Neodiprion lecontei: one gene and its partner. The protein of the gene in region 1 binds, or shares a complex with, the protein of each later gene. Links are inferred from orthologs where the notes say so. Each region holds a gene or a part of one and is shown on either strand. Other genes may lie near its edges.

The links.
Region 2: mitochondrial import inner membrane translocase subunit Tim29 (region 1) and mitochondrial import inner membrane translocase subunit Tim10 B share a complex: the UniProt entries of both Homo sapiens proteins name them as parts of the TIM22 complex. The link is inferred for Neodiprion lecontei from reciprocal best matches to the Homo sapiens genes TIMM29 and TIMM10B.

Annotation. Positions count from the first base shown.
Region 1 is NC_060264.1:30,475,502-30,482,937, reverse strand, and holds mitochondrial import inner membrane translocase subunit Tim29, read right to left. Parts: upstream 4,151-7,436; 5' UTR 3,958-4,150; coding exon 3,816-3,957; intron 3,630-3,815; coding exon 3,528-3,629; intron 3,219-3,527; coding exon 2,809-3,218; 3' UTR 2,692-2,808; downstream 1-2,691. Other genes in the region: UBX domain-containing protein 7, read right to left, coding at 1-70, 149-206, 306-587, 742-1,016, 1,277-1,534, 1,975-2,014; uncharacterized protein LOC124294430, read left to right, coding at 4,537-4,558, 4,844-5,025, 5,155-5,260, 5,367-5,435, 5,588-7,436. UniProt on the Homo sapiens protein: Component of the TIM22 complex, a complex that mediates the import and insertion of multi-pass transmembrane proteins into the mitochondrial inner membrane.
Region 2 is NC_060263.1:26,784,659-26,794,388, reverse strand, and holds mitochondrial import inner membrane translocase subunit Tim10 B, read right to left. Parts: upstream 5,650-9,730; 5' UTR 5,351-5,649; coding exon 5,249-5,350; exon of another isoform or gene 5,131-5,248; coding exon of another isoform or gene 5,107-5,130; intron 4,985-5,106; coding exon 4,889-4,984; intron 4,719-4,888; coding exon 4,503-4,718; 3' UTR 1,733-4,502; downstream 1-1,732. Other genes in the region: UTP--glucose-1-phosphate uridylyltransferase, read right to left, coding at 6,448-6,660, 7,016-7,182, 7,399-7,536, 7,615-7,753, 7,886-8,032, 8,140-8,215, 8,760-8,965, 9,167-9,349 and 1 more. UniProt on the Homo sapiens protein: Component of the TIM22 complex, a complex that mediates the import and insertion of multi-pass transmembrane proteins into the mitochondrial inner membrane.

The sequences.
Region 1 (7,436 bases):
ATACTAACGCCACTACGAGGAAGGATTACGTTACTCGCGCTGGGCCCAGCATCGACACGTTCATTGTTAGCTGGAAGATTGCAATATGGCTTATTATGATGGGACAACAGAGTATTTCATTGATGCCTTGGTGTAGTTAATTTGTTACCTGATTCCACGGCCGTGTCTCGAATTCCTCTGGCTTTTTTGCTTTCTGGGGTCATACCCTAAGATCAAAAATTAAAATTTACGAAAATTATCAATTTCTTTCTTGCCTTTCGCAGCATAAAGAAAACATGATCACCAAAGTATTTCATCATACGAACACTTGCCGAAGATTCGGAAGGCACATCGCACCGCCGGACCATGGAACCTGCAGGGCATGATAGCCAGTCGTCTGTAGCGGTAGAAGGAACCTGCGGTGCAGTTTCCGGGGATAGATGATTGCTCAACATGTCACCTAGCCCTGAAACTAGATGTTCTACCGTAAACCGGTCGTATGTCCGGACACACTCGCCTGTTCTTGGGTCCAGAACAGCTAGATAAGGGTAATCAGTGACATTGTAGAAGTCGATGAAGCGTTGACCGTCAGATGTGTTAGATATGACCTGAGGATATGGCAAACGCTAGTTACACATGAGTAGAAAATTAAAGGCCGTTACTGGATCTACATATATATAATATTTCTTTTTCTCTGTTACCGATGGAAGGTCAAGTATGAGTTAAATTTCCTAATAATAAGTATGCGATCGATATAATTACCTGCCACAGAACGAAATGGTCCCTGACCATATCCCTGATCTGCTCATTGGGCCACAGGTCTCTGTTAAGTATTTGGCATGAGAATTCAAGTGGATTTTGTACATTAACAAGAAGCCATCGGTTTATGAGCTTCGCATGTTCCCTAGCCTCGATGAATGATCCCAAAAACATGATGTCGTAAGGGGGTCTGAAGAGGTCTTCCAGGCGCTTGGACTTCCTTGGTGACATTTTTTTCACCCCTGTTACCCTCCGCGCCATTTCCTCCTCCTGGCGTTCTGGCATCAGTTAATTCATTCAATTTAAACATCGCATATTAGCTTGAAACTCACTTGAATCCATGTAACTCAAAAGGAAACTCTAAAAATTGATGTTTCACGCCGATTCTCAGCATCAAGATGATATTTGCATCGCGTATTACAAACATATCTTGCATAAACTTTTTGGTAATTAAAAAGTACGATGAAATAAGGTAAGCCGACGCCGATTTATAAGGATAAAAAGCCGTCCCGGTTATCGAGAGCCTCTTGTTCCTTACGTGTTTCTACCGCAAAGTCCCTAAATCTATCAAACACACTGTTCGATGCTCTGGGGAACGCACAGACGGGCTGTGTTGGTACCAACACTTCTCGAGTAGGTAGAATTGGCGGCCTGATCTCTGGTTCTGGGGGTTCAGTTTGACCGTCTACGTCTGCTACTGCCTCTGCTCCGCCACCTTCAAACATCAGGCTAATAGCAGTCTCTACATTGCCGTCAGCCACCACGAGGTACTGTCTGGCGACAGCCTCGCTGGATCCTGGAATTTGGAAAAAATGTTCTCATGAAAGAGAGGGAAGAAAATAATTTGAAACCAAATTAGGTTAGGTTAACACAAAAAGGGCAGTATTGGATAAAGTTAGGTTAGATGAATGAATCAAAGTGAGGAAAACTTGGGAAACTCAAGATTAGGTCAGATGAGATCAAGGTCAGCTAGGGTGAATTGAAATAAAACCCATGGTAAATGTGTTATGCTGGTAAGGCTAGTAAAATGGGTAGAATATTACTGTAATACAATTCTTTGGAAATAAACATTTCAATGTGAAGTAAAACAGAGAAACGGACTCCTGCATTCTTTGTTTACCGATTCAACTGTTCGTACAGTCACATTGAAGCATTGAATTTGTGTTAACGGCAAAATATAGAACTGAGTATAATGAAATTGATATTTCAATTATTACTGTTCGCTTTTGGGCTAACCTGTGACTTCGATGAATTTTTCAATCAGTTCGCGATCCATCCTGTTACAACATCAAGCTCTAGTTTTGGATTCTATATCTGTTATTCGCCGATTGTTGTATGAGAAAACAAAATCGTCTTCGTGTTTGTTTGAAATTTCGGTGGTACAAGAACGCTTCCCTTGAATATTAAATCCGGTATCGTTTCACGGTCGCGGATCGATGCGATTTCGAATCCAGATTTTGAATTCTTGAACTTTTACCGAATTTTATAACAGCCACGGATCACTGCGGCTGTCAACCGGCATTAGCTATTTTGTCTTCAGCTTTCCTCTCCTCTCTCTATCTCCCGCTGCGCAACCGTTGCCACAATCGATCATGGACCATGAATATTCTCATAAGAAGGTAACTCTGTTGGGATTTTTTACACCGTTCATGAAATTAGATGAGACTTTTGACGAGAGTTGGACAATTCATTGAAAATATCTTGAAATAACGTTTTCATTTCAACTACCTTCACGCGAGTTTTTGATTAGATCTAACAGAATAGGCCAATAATAGTAAATTATTTACAACTTTATCAGAAATTAATGAATTCGAAGCATTCGAATCTTTTTCAAGCGCAGTATTCCGCCACGTTCTTTTTCCATCATCTTGTAATATAATTCTCTAATAAATTCCAGCTTTCGATCCCAAAGTATCAATAGTGCATATATAAGTTTAAAAAAATTTACCATACTTGTGTGTGAAGGCACATTTATTCAATGAATAAACCTTCTATATGTACATATGTATAAATACTATTATAATAATTAATATTTGTAATTTTATCCGTCAATAATATTCGATATTCTCATTATGAGCCGATTTTATCTGGCGAAGTGGAGAAGTTTTTAAATTCCTCTTCATTTATATCAAAATCAGTCATTTTGTCCTCCAGTAGCCACCACTTATCCATGAAACCAATGTCAACTATTCTGTGATGAAATCCTAAATACTGTGGTTTGAGATACGAACATGTTGCTTTGTAGTGAGCACATTCTTTATCGTAGTTATCCAACCATATAAAAGAAACAATCCCCAAGCTCAACCTGCGTATGATCCCTTCATTGAAGCACTGTTCTATCGATTTCAAATGCCTTACACTTTGACGATTCCGAATTGGTTCTCCAACCATCATCATCTTGTTTGATTCTTCTATCAACATGTTTCTGTACGAATCTGGACTAGGGTTGTGTCGTGAAAAGTAGTATACACTGCCTAGAACTGAAACATAAACCAATTCACACGAAAATTTCATACCGAATACAGAACATTTACTGGCTCCTCTGACTCTAAATAAATATATTTTTCTTTTGTATTTTTGGTTTGATTCACTGCAATAATTAGTGTTATCTGCACTAATGATGAGCAGCTATAGTGGGCTTAAACATGTATTTTTATGAGCTGCGAATCCTTTACAAAGAAGTATAGTGATACATCTAAGATCATAAAGATAAAGAAAAAAAAACTAAGTTGTCTCTCATTCCAGCAGGTTTCACTGCGGGAAATTAAGAAATATGATTTTTCACTTACGAGAGAAATAGATTGAAGCACGAATAGGCCGATCCTTACATCCTTGTGCAACATCCTTAGCCACATCTCTGTAGTCAATGAAGAGATTCTTCCAATATTTTGCTACAATGAAAATAAAACAGGTGACAATTATCGAATGATTATCGAACAAGTTCGCATACTCTAAGCTAACACCCGATCTCCCTATATTCTGTGAATTGCTTCGTCAAATTTATATAAATATAATATAACCTGTAAATACCTAACCTAACTTAACCTCGAACAAAAATTAACATGACCTGTTCTTACCCCAACGATCTAGTAGCCGTTCCTTCACTTGCTCCGTCACTTCAGGATCCTTAGCTTTGCTTATCTCAGCTGAATTTGTACTATAGGTTTTAAAAAATTGTTTAAATCTATTACGGAATAAATGGGATATCCGAACCGCCATAGTTAGTTTACTGATCAACGAAGCGTGCGGCGATTGAATTTCGCTCACTGAAAAGTCACTCTCATTTAAATTCCATAATAAGAATAAGTTCTTAGTTAATGACAAAGCACGTGACGTTGAAAAATTCCTATTAATTAATAAATTGAGCCGAGGCGCGAAAGCATCGCGCTTGAGTAAAGTTGGAAAAATACGGCTACTAGCTTTCTTATCGTGAATTAAATAAGTCGTCTGCTCTGGTTTGGTAAGCGCGGGGACTTCCCATAAAGCATTGCGGAACGCGGATTAACTTTAAACATTTTGAACAAGGACGATAGTCGATCTATTTATTTGTTTCATTTTCTTCATTTATTTTCGAGCCCACGTTCAATTTTAACTTCACTCTTGAATACATGGGATTTTGACACTTACGGTTAAACAATAAATTGTCATCATATCATAATTCATTGCAAATTATTGCTCAACTTTAAATTGTCATATCAATTTCAATCTCGACTTAATTTTACGTGTTAATAACAAAGGATTATTTTCATCAATCATGTTTCTCTGACTAACTGCAATTCAATCAACATAATTTTCAAAATGGAGAGAATTAATGGAAAAGGTAATTTATAACTTTAGATTTTCTAACTAAAGCACCTGCGACACATTATCCTAGTCTTCTATGTCACAGCGTTTATCCCTATTTTATTTCTAAAATCTTCTCAACGATTTTTCTTTTCCTCAATTCCTCAATTAACGAAGCCTAGGAATGTTTCGACCCTTCCAATATTTGAAGAAAATTCAACATGAATAACATGTGCAAGTAATCAACTTTGAATCGTACAGCTCGAACAATTTTATGCATAGCTTAGTAGAGTAGACATTGACTCATTTTTTTTATTTTCAGACATGGTGCGCAGCAGATACGCAAAACTTCAGCCTATCACAGATAGAATCAATGGACTTCAAGATCCTTTTTACCATTGTAACGGACATGAAAATGAATTTTCTCGCAGCAATCTCAGCGTTAACTCTTACACTCTTCAGCTTCGATGTGATTTTCAGAACTTGCTACAGGAAAAAAGCAGGGTAAAAATGGAAGTAGAACTTACCTGCAAAACTAAGTGAAAGTATTGAATTTCCGACCACGAAATTCCTTTGTGCATCTAATTCTGTCTGTTTTTCATACACGGGTGTGTTTATGTTTTTTTGTTGTAGGTATCTAGGATGACTGAAAAATCTATGAGAGAAGAATTTTTTCAGACAAAAATGCCGGCAGCTCTTTTGAAACAGCGCGTTTCCTCTTTGGAAATAAGTCCAACTGGTAATTACACATAAAGACCAATTAATACACCTCTGGTTTTAAGATTAATCTCTGGTAAACATCAAGTATAGTAATTCCAAGTGATGATTATCTTTTCTTGTTTCAGAATTGCTTAAAAAACAGAAGAACCGCAAGCATCGAAATAAGGAGAAACCGTTTTTCTCATTACTTCTCAGTACGTAGAGACAACTATCATAACTTGTTAATTTCTTAGGTTCTTTCATTTCAACAAGTAGTGAAAATAAAAAAAAAAGTTAGGAAAATCCTTCAAAAAGTATAATGCTCTACAGCTTTTCGCTTTTCGGAAATATAGTTTGTCTTTTTCAGATCTCAAAGTAGAGCTATTGGACATCCTAAATTGCATTTTCTACGTACTGTGGTGTCCAATATACTACTTTGGAAAATTAATTCTGACAATTATAAGATCGGTTGCTTGCTTGCTGTGGAGTGTGTTGACGTTGTCGATATTCCGAGGTACAAGTGTGCCATACGATTCAAAAGAGCTGAAATTGGTGGTAAAGGAGCCAGAGCTCTTAGTGTTACCAGATATTACGGGTGATTCAAAACACCTCTCGACAGATGTGAAAAAATTACTGCCTCAACGAAGCAGTGATTTTCATTCCATCAGTAGCTCCGTTCCGCAGGGACTAAGAACCAGTGACGAAATCAGTCCGACAGAGATAGCGGATCATAAAAGCCTTAAGGATCTCTTATCTCCACAAAAGAAAGTCAATCTCTCTTTGAAAATGATTGATAAAATGAGAGTGGGGGACCAAATAAAAGGCAGTGGGTTCCAATTACAAAATGAAAATTATTATCCGTATTCTTCACACCACGAAAATGTAAGCAATGTTGGATTGAGCAGTGATTATTTGCCAGATAAATGTTCAGGCAAATTTTGTAACATTCAGGAATGTAGAAAGACGGGTGTCAAACAATACGAAGAACCATTGACTAGTTCAAAAGATGCCACTTCCAAGGGAGGCGAAAATGTTGTCGAATATAAACGACGGACACATTCCAAAAATTCACATCTCAGAAGTGAGTTTAGATTGTCTAAGAATCCTCAAATCAAGTTATCTCATGTTAAGAAATTTGAAAAAGAAAAACCAAACGAAGTTGAACCCCATAATTCAAAGTTTCGACTTGCTGATTACAATTCTTTGGATACAGTGAACACAGGTAAAGAGAGCTTAACGATATTGCTGACGAACTTGATAAGCAAAAAAGGTAAAAAGTCGAGGCTGCATTCCGTTCCTGTTCCATCTATTAGTTATATGTTGGAACAAAGACCTACAACTGAAAATAGAGAAGAATGTGAAGAAAGGGTAAAAAACAATCTGCTTGGATCTGAAATTCTACGTAGTAATGTGCAACAAGTCTCAGAGTTCAAGGGACAAGAAAGTAATGGATCAAAATCCTGCCTCGATGACAAAGGAGATCGGTCACAGACAAACGCTGCGGTAGTTCCTCCGCAAGTGTGTCAGGATAGAAAATTGACTACCCAGTCGGAGCATTCATGCATTGTGACGCACACAGATGATTTGGAGAATCGTAAATATGCAACGACAGTTTCAGATCATATAACGGAGATAAATGAGTTGGAGAAACAGAAAAGTAAGATACAATCTTTGACTCTGGAAAGTTCAGACAAGAGAATGTTGCAGTCTAAAGACATTATCGAAGGCCTTGAGAGGCTAACAGATCCAGTGGAATCATCAGGTCTCCTTATTGAACGAAAGGACTCGTTAAGAATTGCAAAGTATACCCAGCCAGTTGATGCAAAATCCAAATGGTTAGAAATAAAGAAAAAATTTTATGGAATAGATTACAACAGGACTGCGAAGCAGGAAGAGCCAAAGAAATTAGAATCCAAGAGTCTTGCACAAATAACATCGGTATCAAAACTCCCAGCACACAAGATATTTCAGTACAATATGCAAGTCGGAAGAGCAAGACAAATGGGCGCAGAGTCGTCTTCAACTGAGGGAATACTTTTGGAGAAAAATCTCACTTCGATCGGCATTGAGGGGGCAGTAGTTCCTGATCGGCTCGGAAGTAATGCATCACGGTGTCTGCAGCCAGTGGTTCAAACGCCTTGCCGATTATCTCACACTCAGTCGTTATCCCAGTGGCCATTAGGTTTCGATAATTCTCCTCTATTGAGGAAATATTT
Region 2 (9,730 bases), on another chromosome or scaffold:
ATCTTTTTTATTTTGTGTCTGTTGCAACTTGGTGTATTTGTTCTTGCTCTACATTTCTATTGTGATAAAAAAAATAGCGCATGAAACATTGATTATATTATTTTGGATGCATTAGTAATGATATTATATTACTGAATTTTTTTTAGATCTTGCCTGGCCATTTTCTTCTAATCTGTTGCGATCATGAGTGATAAAATAATCAGACCATTTACTTATAGTCCGGTCAATTTAGACATAAAAATAGTGATCGAACCACAATAATTCCGACAAAGCTGAACTTTGGTAGAGACCTTGGGTTTACCATTATAAAGAAAAACAAAAAAGTCCCCATCGATACCATGTGGCTAAAAAAGTTATTCAAGGTCAAAGGTCAAAATTTTTGGTTTTTTCGATTTTTCTCGTTAACGGTTAATTTTATCAAAAAAATAGCTTAAACCAAAATTGTAGATCATAAAATTATCCACAAAAATGGTCTCTATACTTTTTTTCCTAAGAATCATCATTTCTGAGATATCGCGATTCTGAAAGTCGAACGAGTTACATTCTATATAATATGCACGCATATTATATATGTCACGGATATACACAGTATATGTATAGTATATACAGTGTATATACATAGTGTATATATAGTATATATTATAATATATATATATATATAGTATATATACTGATATACTTAGTATATATACAGTATATATTAGACTGCCTCAAAAAACAAAAACTATTTTTTTTTTCGATCTCCAGCTTCATGAAATCATAGTTTATAACATAATGTTGAACCTCGTGAAAGGAAATCGCCGTGCCATTTTTTTAAGAGGTGCGACATCGAGATTTTGTAATTCCCATTTGATTAATACGTAAGAAATCCAATTCTGACGGTTGGAGAGAGATAATAATTTTTCTATGCAACGAACGGAACGCTATATAGTAGCGCTCGACAGTTTATATGTTTTCTTCGAATTGCCGTGTCGGAGAAATTTTTTGATCGCACGATCTTCGAGTGATTCAACATTGCGTAAAACGTGGTTTTTCGCCTTTTCGAAAAATGGGTACCTAGGATAAACTCCCAGCTTCCTCAACTGGATCACATTACAATGTTGAATAATATCCGTCAAATACATTCGAAGAAAACATATAAACTGTCAAGCACTACTATATAGAGTTCTGTTCATTGCATAGAAAAATTATTATCTCCCTCCAACCGTCAGAATTGAATTTCTTACGTATTAATCAAATGGGAATTACAAAATCTCGATGTCGCACCTCTTAAAAAAATCGCACGGCGATTTCCTTTCACGAGGTTCAATATTATGTTATAAACTACGATTTCATGAAGCCGGAGATCGAAAAAAAAAATTGTTTTTTCTTTCTTAGGCAGTCTAATATATACTGTATATATTCTAACTATATCAGTGTATATACTATACATATATATTATAATATATACTATATATACACTGTATATACTATACATATACTATGTATATCCGTGACATATATAATATGCGTGCATATTATATAGAATGTAACTCGTTCGACTTTCAGAATCGCGATATCTCAGAAATGATGATTCTTAGGAAAAAAAAGTATAGAGACCATTTTTGTGGATAATTTTATGATCTACAATTTTGGTTTAAGCTATTTTTTTGATAAAATTAACCGTTAACGAGAAAAATCGAAAAAACCAAAAATTTTGACCTTTGACCTTGAATAACTTTTTTAGCACACATGGTATCGATGGGGAATTTTTTATCTTTCTTTATAATGGTAAACCCAAGGTCTCTACCAAAGTTCAGCTCTGTCGGAATTATTGTGATTCGAAATGTCTAAATTGACCGGACTATTAAATGAAGACCCGAGAGCTTCATATGTATTCCACACGGTATTCACCTTTAATTAGTTAAGTAGTTGAATGTGGTACATTTTATTTACGAAAAAAAAAAATTGAGAAACTTACGTCGATAAGATTAGATAGAATCGTTGGTAGATTCGAAAGTACATGTTAAAATAGGGCCTAGTCATTAAATATTAGGATATTTACTGAAAAATAGAAAATAAAATTCGGCTGAGACAATGACATACTTATACAAGAGTAATATAGATGGGAAAAATGAATTTGAGTACAGAAGTTTTGCAACGTTGATTATCCTGCTTTAATTTTTCACCCAGCTTTACTATTTAATGAATAAAAATATACTACAGCACTCATATGGCAATGGTTGACACGATAAAATTGCGGATATCAACTTTGTAGACAAGAATGCAAATACGTCTGTATTTGTACATAATCAGAACTGAAATTTCGTTTAGAAAAAAATCGTTTATATTTACTTATAATCAGAAAAAGAGAACAAAATCTATTAAAAAAGTACACAATATTGTTTACTGGAGTACGAAACTTGTGATTAGGCCTGTTATATATACATAAGTGTATTTGAATAACTTGTCACTTGACAATATAAGTAGACAATACAAATACAAAATATACTCATATATTTTGGGTAAAAATGCTAATATTGCTGATGAGTATGTGTTGTCAAAAATTAGTCTGCTAACTCCTGTGATTTTTTATATTTTTAATGATTGTTAATTTTTATTTATATACTTTCCATTACCAGTAGGAGTGCTGTATAGGATATTTATATAAAAAATCAAACGCTTATTAAGTTTAATTTTAACACTGCATTACAGGTATGTGAATGCAAATGGGCGAGCTTATAAAAAATATTTTAAGTAATTTCGAGTACTTATAGATTTGCAGGCAAATAATAATTATTTATTATTTTCATAGGCATGTGAAGTTAATTTATTCATTCACATTTTGGCAGGTAAAGAAGTGATTCTAATATCGTGAAACCAATTTGTATATCAATGCCATACACATTAAATTCATTCCTTTAACATGGCAACGCAATTATTCATGAAATACGAGAAATAAATGCTTGAGTGATGGAAATTACAAGTACGTCAAAAGAATAATGTTTCTAAATCATTGAAGCACTCGATATACCTGGTTTTTTAATCGGTCCCCTTTTGTTACATGCAATAGATTCCTATCTGTAATTTACGCGATTTCAATTGAATTTGCTTTGCTAAGAAAAAATGTAAAGTTGCATTCCTAATTACGATTACTTGATGTACAGACTGAAATGTCGCTGATCTCATACACATCACAGGTACATTATGTAGACCATTGCACATATAGTAATTTGTGTAACCACGTCTGCTGTCACATGGGTTTTAAAACTGTTAGTGTTCCACACCAGTATTTGTGACAGCTTTAGATGTGAATCTGTGACAATGTCGAAAAAAAAAAAAAAAAAATGGGGGAAAGTAGTAGTTTCAGAAAGCAGTATGTTATTACGTCAGATCTTAGAGATATTTTGACGTTTGAATTGAACAATCAAAATGATATTTACTACAAGCTTGTGTGAGCATTTTAAAATTTTAAAACACTATTACTTTCAAATGCAACAATATCATTTTGCTTGGTTCATGCTATAATTTTTAGCAAATTGACGACAGAGAACCGTTAAACTTTAAAACAGTGTATTGAGGCAATATATTGTAGTCGTGTTCTGATATTATAACAAAACTGTAATAATATTATTCGTATATATACATATACATACATACCGTATTCTGTATATACACACATTTTCAATAATAAATCAATGCTTATGTAATATGTACGGCCCTGTATTATTATTTAAACTAATTGGCTTATTATTTTTTAACAGTAGGATGGTCAGACTGAAAAATTTCAACTAATTACTTACCTAGAATCACTTGAAAAGTAATGTTATAATATTCAATGTTCCTTGCAAATATGTATTAATTAAGACGAAACTGGTCTTTGCTTTGTTTACATTTTGATTTCCAATCTTAGCAAGATGATATATCACAACTTATGTAGAAAATCTAATAAACTGAATACTTGTACTTTTGCCATTCACTCATTCTCAAAATCTGAAATGCAAAGAACCAGAGAATATGGTAAGAAAAATATGTACATACAATTACACAATGCAAAGGTTGAATGAACAAATTCAGTTTTTATACGTTGAAAATATTTACAGAGTAGTTAACTATGATTACACTCCCAACCGCTGCATACAACAGGAGGAAGACGTATTACATATTGCTTGCAAAACAATCTTGCTGCTACCAGCTTGCTGTAAGAAAGACGTTCCTGAGAGGATATCTGTTTCAAATGACTGCCATTACGAAGCGCATAATAAGGAGAGCCATGAATTGAAAAATGCTGGTCCTTAAGGAATCCTTGAATCATAAAAGACCTGTACCAACAATCAGTATGACAAAGAGGCTCAAAGCAATCTTATTTTGACCCTATTGCCAAACAAGGAACAGCTGAGCAACATAACACACCCTGACAATATTGAAAAGGTGAACAGCATAAAGTAAAATAAATATATCATATTATAAAATAATGTAATATAAAATATTAAATAACATAAAACGAAAGGCTAAATTGTGGGTCAGACCAGTGGCTGACTTTGTCGTAAATTTTGACTAGTTTCTGTGTCTTGGGTGTCTTGCTGCAGTTGTTGCTGCTGTGCCATAGCTGCAGCTTGAGCAGCATTCATTTCTTCTGTCCTTTTATTCATTAAAACAGGTAGTACCTCCATATAGACTTTCATCATTTTGGTATTCGCTTTTACATGCTTCTGGGCACAGTTATTTACACAAGCTTCCTATGGCATTACAAATAAATAGTTATTCTCAATACATGCTGCAAAGATATGTATGTGTAATGAATATACATAATATTGGAAAGCTGCAAGTATTTTTATATGGTGTAAAAAGAACTGAAATCTGAATCTTATCCAAAATTCAGAAAACATTCACCGATCGATCATCTCACCTCATCCACATCCATGTCTCTGGAATTGTATGTATTTGTACATCGTTTGAAGCATGTGTCAGATATTTGATTGTAGAGCGTAAGGAAATCCTTGAACTGCAATAAAAATTATTCAAATAATGTCAATTCTGTGTTATGGTAGAGCGCGATAAGAATTGCTTATGAAGTAAATAGAAGCAGCATTCAATTGATGACAAATTATAACAGAAAATACAAACATTTCTTATCTCCCTTAAATCCATGTTTTGGTGAATAAATTTATCACGGCCTCCACTACTAAATTATGAATTACAAATAATAATGAGTCTTGAGATTTAAATTCATGAACGGAATTCTCGTCATGCAACATAACCTACATACATAACTCACTGTCCTGATTTTCTGCGTGAGCATTTTCAACAAGTAGGAAAAGGAAAGGAGACATAACTCCGTACTCTTTTCGACGGCAAACGTGAGACACATTTGGTTGGAAATTCGTAGTACCGATAACGCCGCGCAGCGCTGGTTTCGTCTGTTGCATGGGAAATTTGAACGCGCTATATGTGTGCACAATTTTTAAATAATATCCCTCTTCCCGTTACGGCTCCGCCCGCTAATATTTTTAAATGCTTTTTGTGGCGAGATTATAAGACATAACCATTGTGAAGCTCATAGAGATTTTTGAAAACTCTTGAGCCTAACTTTCCTCCATATAAGAGTTTAATCAGAGCTTTCACAAGTGTATGATCCCGTTCAGACTTAGCTTACAAATATTGTTATATCTTCAAAACGATCGATCTGGTTGTAACAAAATATGTCTTAAAACCTGGTCAGACGTTGTAGTTATCCACAGAAAAAAGGAATCAAAATCGGGGGAGTTTATAAGCCAATATACGGATAGCAGAGAAATAGAGCGAAGTTGAATTTTACGTATGTATGTATGTACAACAAACAAATATTAAAAATACTAGAAATTTCTGTCTATTACTCACGAAGAACATATTTCTAGATGAATACGCCACTGCAGTTACAAACATACACATGCTAAGTGTTCATGCTAACAACCCGATGAAACATCCAGTGAATCGGAACGACTTGGGCCCTGAAGTTTGCACCTGGATATTCATGACGGCAATTTTTCGTTGAAATAACATTTGTATGTTCCAAAGCACGTAAGAAATTGGAATACAAGGAATTTACAGTAAATATTATTCCGATTTTGTTTTTTCATTATAAGTAATATCTTGCCTGTATGTGGTATTTTTAATGTCCATTCAAGTGTTCAGAATTAGTGCTTCCGATGATCTCTGAGTTAATATTTTCATTCTTAAATTTTGTATATGTACATAAATACTATACATATACATATAATAAGATAAAGCTAAACTTACAAATTGCAACAATAAGTAACGAATAAAATTAGACCACTAAAACTTATTCAGCGAGGGTATAATTAATTATCATTACACATTTTGTACACATTTTTTTGCTAATCTTAGGCCTAGTGTATATGTATATATATATATACACCCACACACAAGACTTTGTGCATGTGATGAACAAACTTGATATACCATAAACTAATGATCCAAAATACGTAGATTTCCGGATACAATTTTATTTTCTAAAATAGTTCCCGAAGGTATGTCGATACGGTCTCCATGATTTGCTATAATAATAACTGTGCCTTTGAGAGAAACTCCTTTTCCAAATGTAACATCGCCGGATACAGTTAGATGATCCAGTTCTAAGAGATCTGGGATTGAGGCAAACCTACGTAGATACTCTTTTACCTGAAAAAATTAATAATAATTAGAATACGTGAAGTGTAATCAGGATTATTGGTTTATCTCTTATAGAATTCCTAAAGTAACAAAGCTTGCAACACGTGCGGAACAAATGAAAAAAATACAATTTTCCGCGAGCATCACAACCTTGCGTCGATTATGGTATTTCAATGCTTCAAGTATTATTCTAATTAGCTAACAATAATCTGGGCACAAACGTCATAAACGTTGGTATTTGTGAATCAATTACGTATTGATTCCTGGTTTTAATAGACTTGTAATTTGTTCCTCACTTTTAGAGAACTGTTAAATTTAAAATATAGCTCACATAGACAGCTATCTTATGAGATAATAATAGCACCTTTGAAAAGTGATTATCGCCAAGTTTGATGAGTGGAGTAGTTGGAAACATCCGCTGGGGACTCATGAGGAGAGCTCCTTTGCGTAAACTGTATAAGTTACTCATCACCAACATGAGATCAGAGGTCTTTTTCACAGGTAAGAATCTGCTACGTGGTACGTTGATGCCTATAGATCAGAGAAAAAAAAAAATTAAAAAATTAGCATTATATGAAAGTAGTCTAAATTTCTATAAAGATTTTTCGAAACAGTTAAGGAATTTGTTTGAAACTTTCAAATGGTTGGCATTTTTTGCTTGGATAGAGTATTTATTACAGAGTTAATGTACAGTTAAGAAATAGTTTAGCATAATTTTATTTGACTGCAAGTATTGGGTGAACTCACCAAGACCTCCATCAAAGGATTTCATAGCTGCACCTACAGCTGTTTCTAGTTGAATAACGTTCAAACCATTACTCAAGCTTTTGTTATTCACAATAATTTCCATGTTGAGTGTTTTTTCTTCTAAGACTCTCTCAATAGCTGCAAGAAATAATGTTCGCAATTGAAACTAGCTAATGAACAATTTCATAAATTCTGAATAGCGTGTTCCGTGCTTACCAGTGAGGCTGACCCATAAGTTGTTGGTATTGAAAAATTTGAAAGTCTTCACAGATTTAAAATCATCAACATGCTCTTTTGGTACTTGAGCTATTTCAAGCAGTCGTAGCTTGTCCTCGTATTGGATTAAGGTACCACCCTAAATAAATAACACATATTGAAGTTATCATTCGATACATTTTGACTTCATTTAGACCGCAAAATATAAGTAAGGTTTGTGGAAGTATCAACCTTTTTTCACGATGTTTTTTAATCATTCCGTAGACATTACCTTAACGTCAGCTCTAGTTTTATTGGTGACCTCCATCACGAATTCTGGTGAAATTACATCTTTGGAATTAAGCAGCAGATTTAAAATATTGAGATCTACAGTGGCACCCAAGTTATCGATGTTAGAAATGAAACAATATTTGCGACCCTAAAATAGAGATGGAACTATTACATATACTGCGACATGTGGAATTCAAAAGTTTTGAGCATAAAATAAATATCATACGAATTATCATTGTAACAATATTACATTACCTGTTGAATGAACTTATTTAGCAGTCCAGAGTTTTGGAAACTTTCATAGAAATCACCGTGACCAGGTGGATACCATCTATAAATTGCAAATTGAAGTAAGTGATCAGCAAACATGTAAATCAAATGGAAATTATTGCAGAGCCCTACAGCAGATTAACAGAATATAATGTTTATTGATTTCTCGACCTTATCGTGAATTGCTGTGCAGAGATTCTCGGTATCAAAGGTCAGTAAGTCAAAAAAACATTTTTCACATTTCGGCTCTGAAGGGGACCCTCCTCAGAAAAGCTAAAATATTTCTTCAACGCATTATTATAATATTTTTTATAAATTGTGGTTGAATGTTTATATATAAGTATTATGATAATGTGTTGAATAAATATTTTAGTCTTTCTGAGGAGGGCCCCGCTCTCAAAGCCTAACTGTGAAAAATGTGTTTTTGACTTACTGACCTTTGAAACTGAGAATTTCTACACCTAACAGGATATACTTCATTGGCTTTATAGACACGTGCCAAATGAATATGTTACCTCGAATTAAAATTCAATAACAATCAAACCGCCGGTACAAATTTGATGTCTGCGGGTGTGAATTATTTGCATATCAAATGAAAAACTTACGATTCAATGTCTTGATCGATATTGCAGTTCTTTCCAATAGGTAGCAGTGAATCTCGATTAATGCGTGGATAGCAGCTTTGGTTGAAGGTGTAAATATCAACGTTTAAGCCCTTATACTTTCTGATTATTTTCTGTGTATCCTCGTCTGTGTTAAACGAATTCATCAGTATGAGAGGGACATTAGCATTGTAGGTTTTGTTCAGATCCTGGAAAAAGTTTGTTCCATTACAACTTGTGCAACTTACTATCAACCAGAACCAAGATTATTGGATACCAATTCGACATGGCTTTTGAGCAAATATATACTTCAAAACATATGACGTTTGTAACAACTTAACATACATAAATGGATCTGTGGAAACGGGGGATTTAAACCAGCCTGCAGACATCTCTCACTCATAACTCACCTCAATTTGCTGTACAGTGAGATCGAGGAAGGTTAAATCATTTCGAACAGCAATGACAGACTTAGGACCATGGCAACCCATACTTGTTCCAAGACCACCGTTCAGTTTTACGACTACCAACTTCTCTAGCATACTTTTGATGACCTCCTCTGCTGGGGTTGGAAGTGTTGTGTAGTCGCGTACCTTTACAGAAAAATTAAAGAGTCAAGGATGAAAAATCAGGCGACAGAAGTATTAATTTGAAACTTACAGCAGCTTCTGGTAATTTCTGTATGCGATTCCATTCTAGAGAAGGTCCTTCTTCCTGAAGGAATCTATCGAACAGGCGAGTGAAGCCTTTGAATTCGCGACTCAATCGATCTTGTTCACTTGGAGGGGCTGTTGCCAGAAGTCTATCAACTTCATGCTGAAGCTGAATCAAGGCATCTCTTTTCGTTCTTTCCTTGAAATCACGAGTATCTGACGGCGACCTTTGATGGCCCCGTGACTGAAATCAAATAATGCACGAAATCTTTGATTATTATGTTATCAAACATACGATACATAAGATGAAAAAGAGTGTGT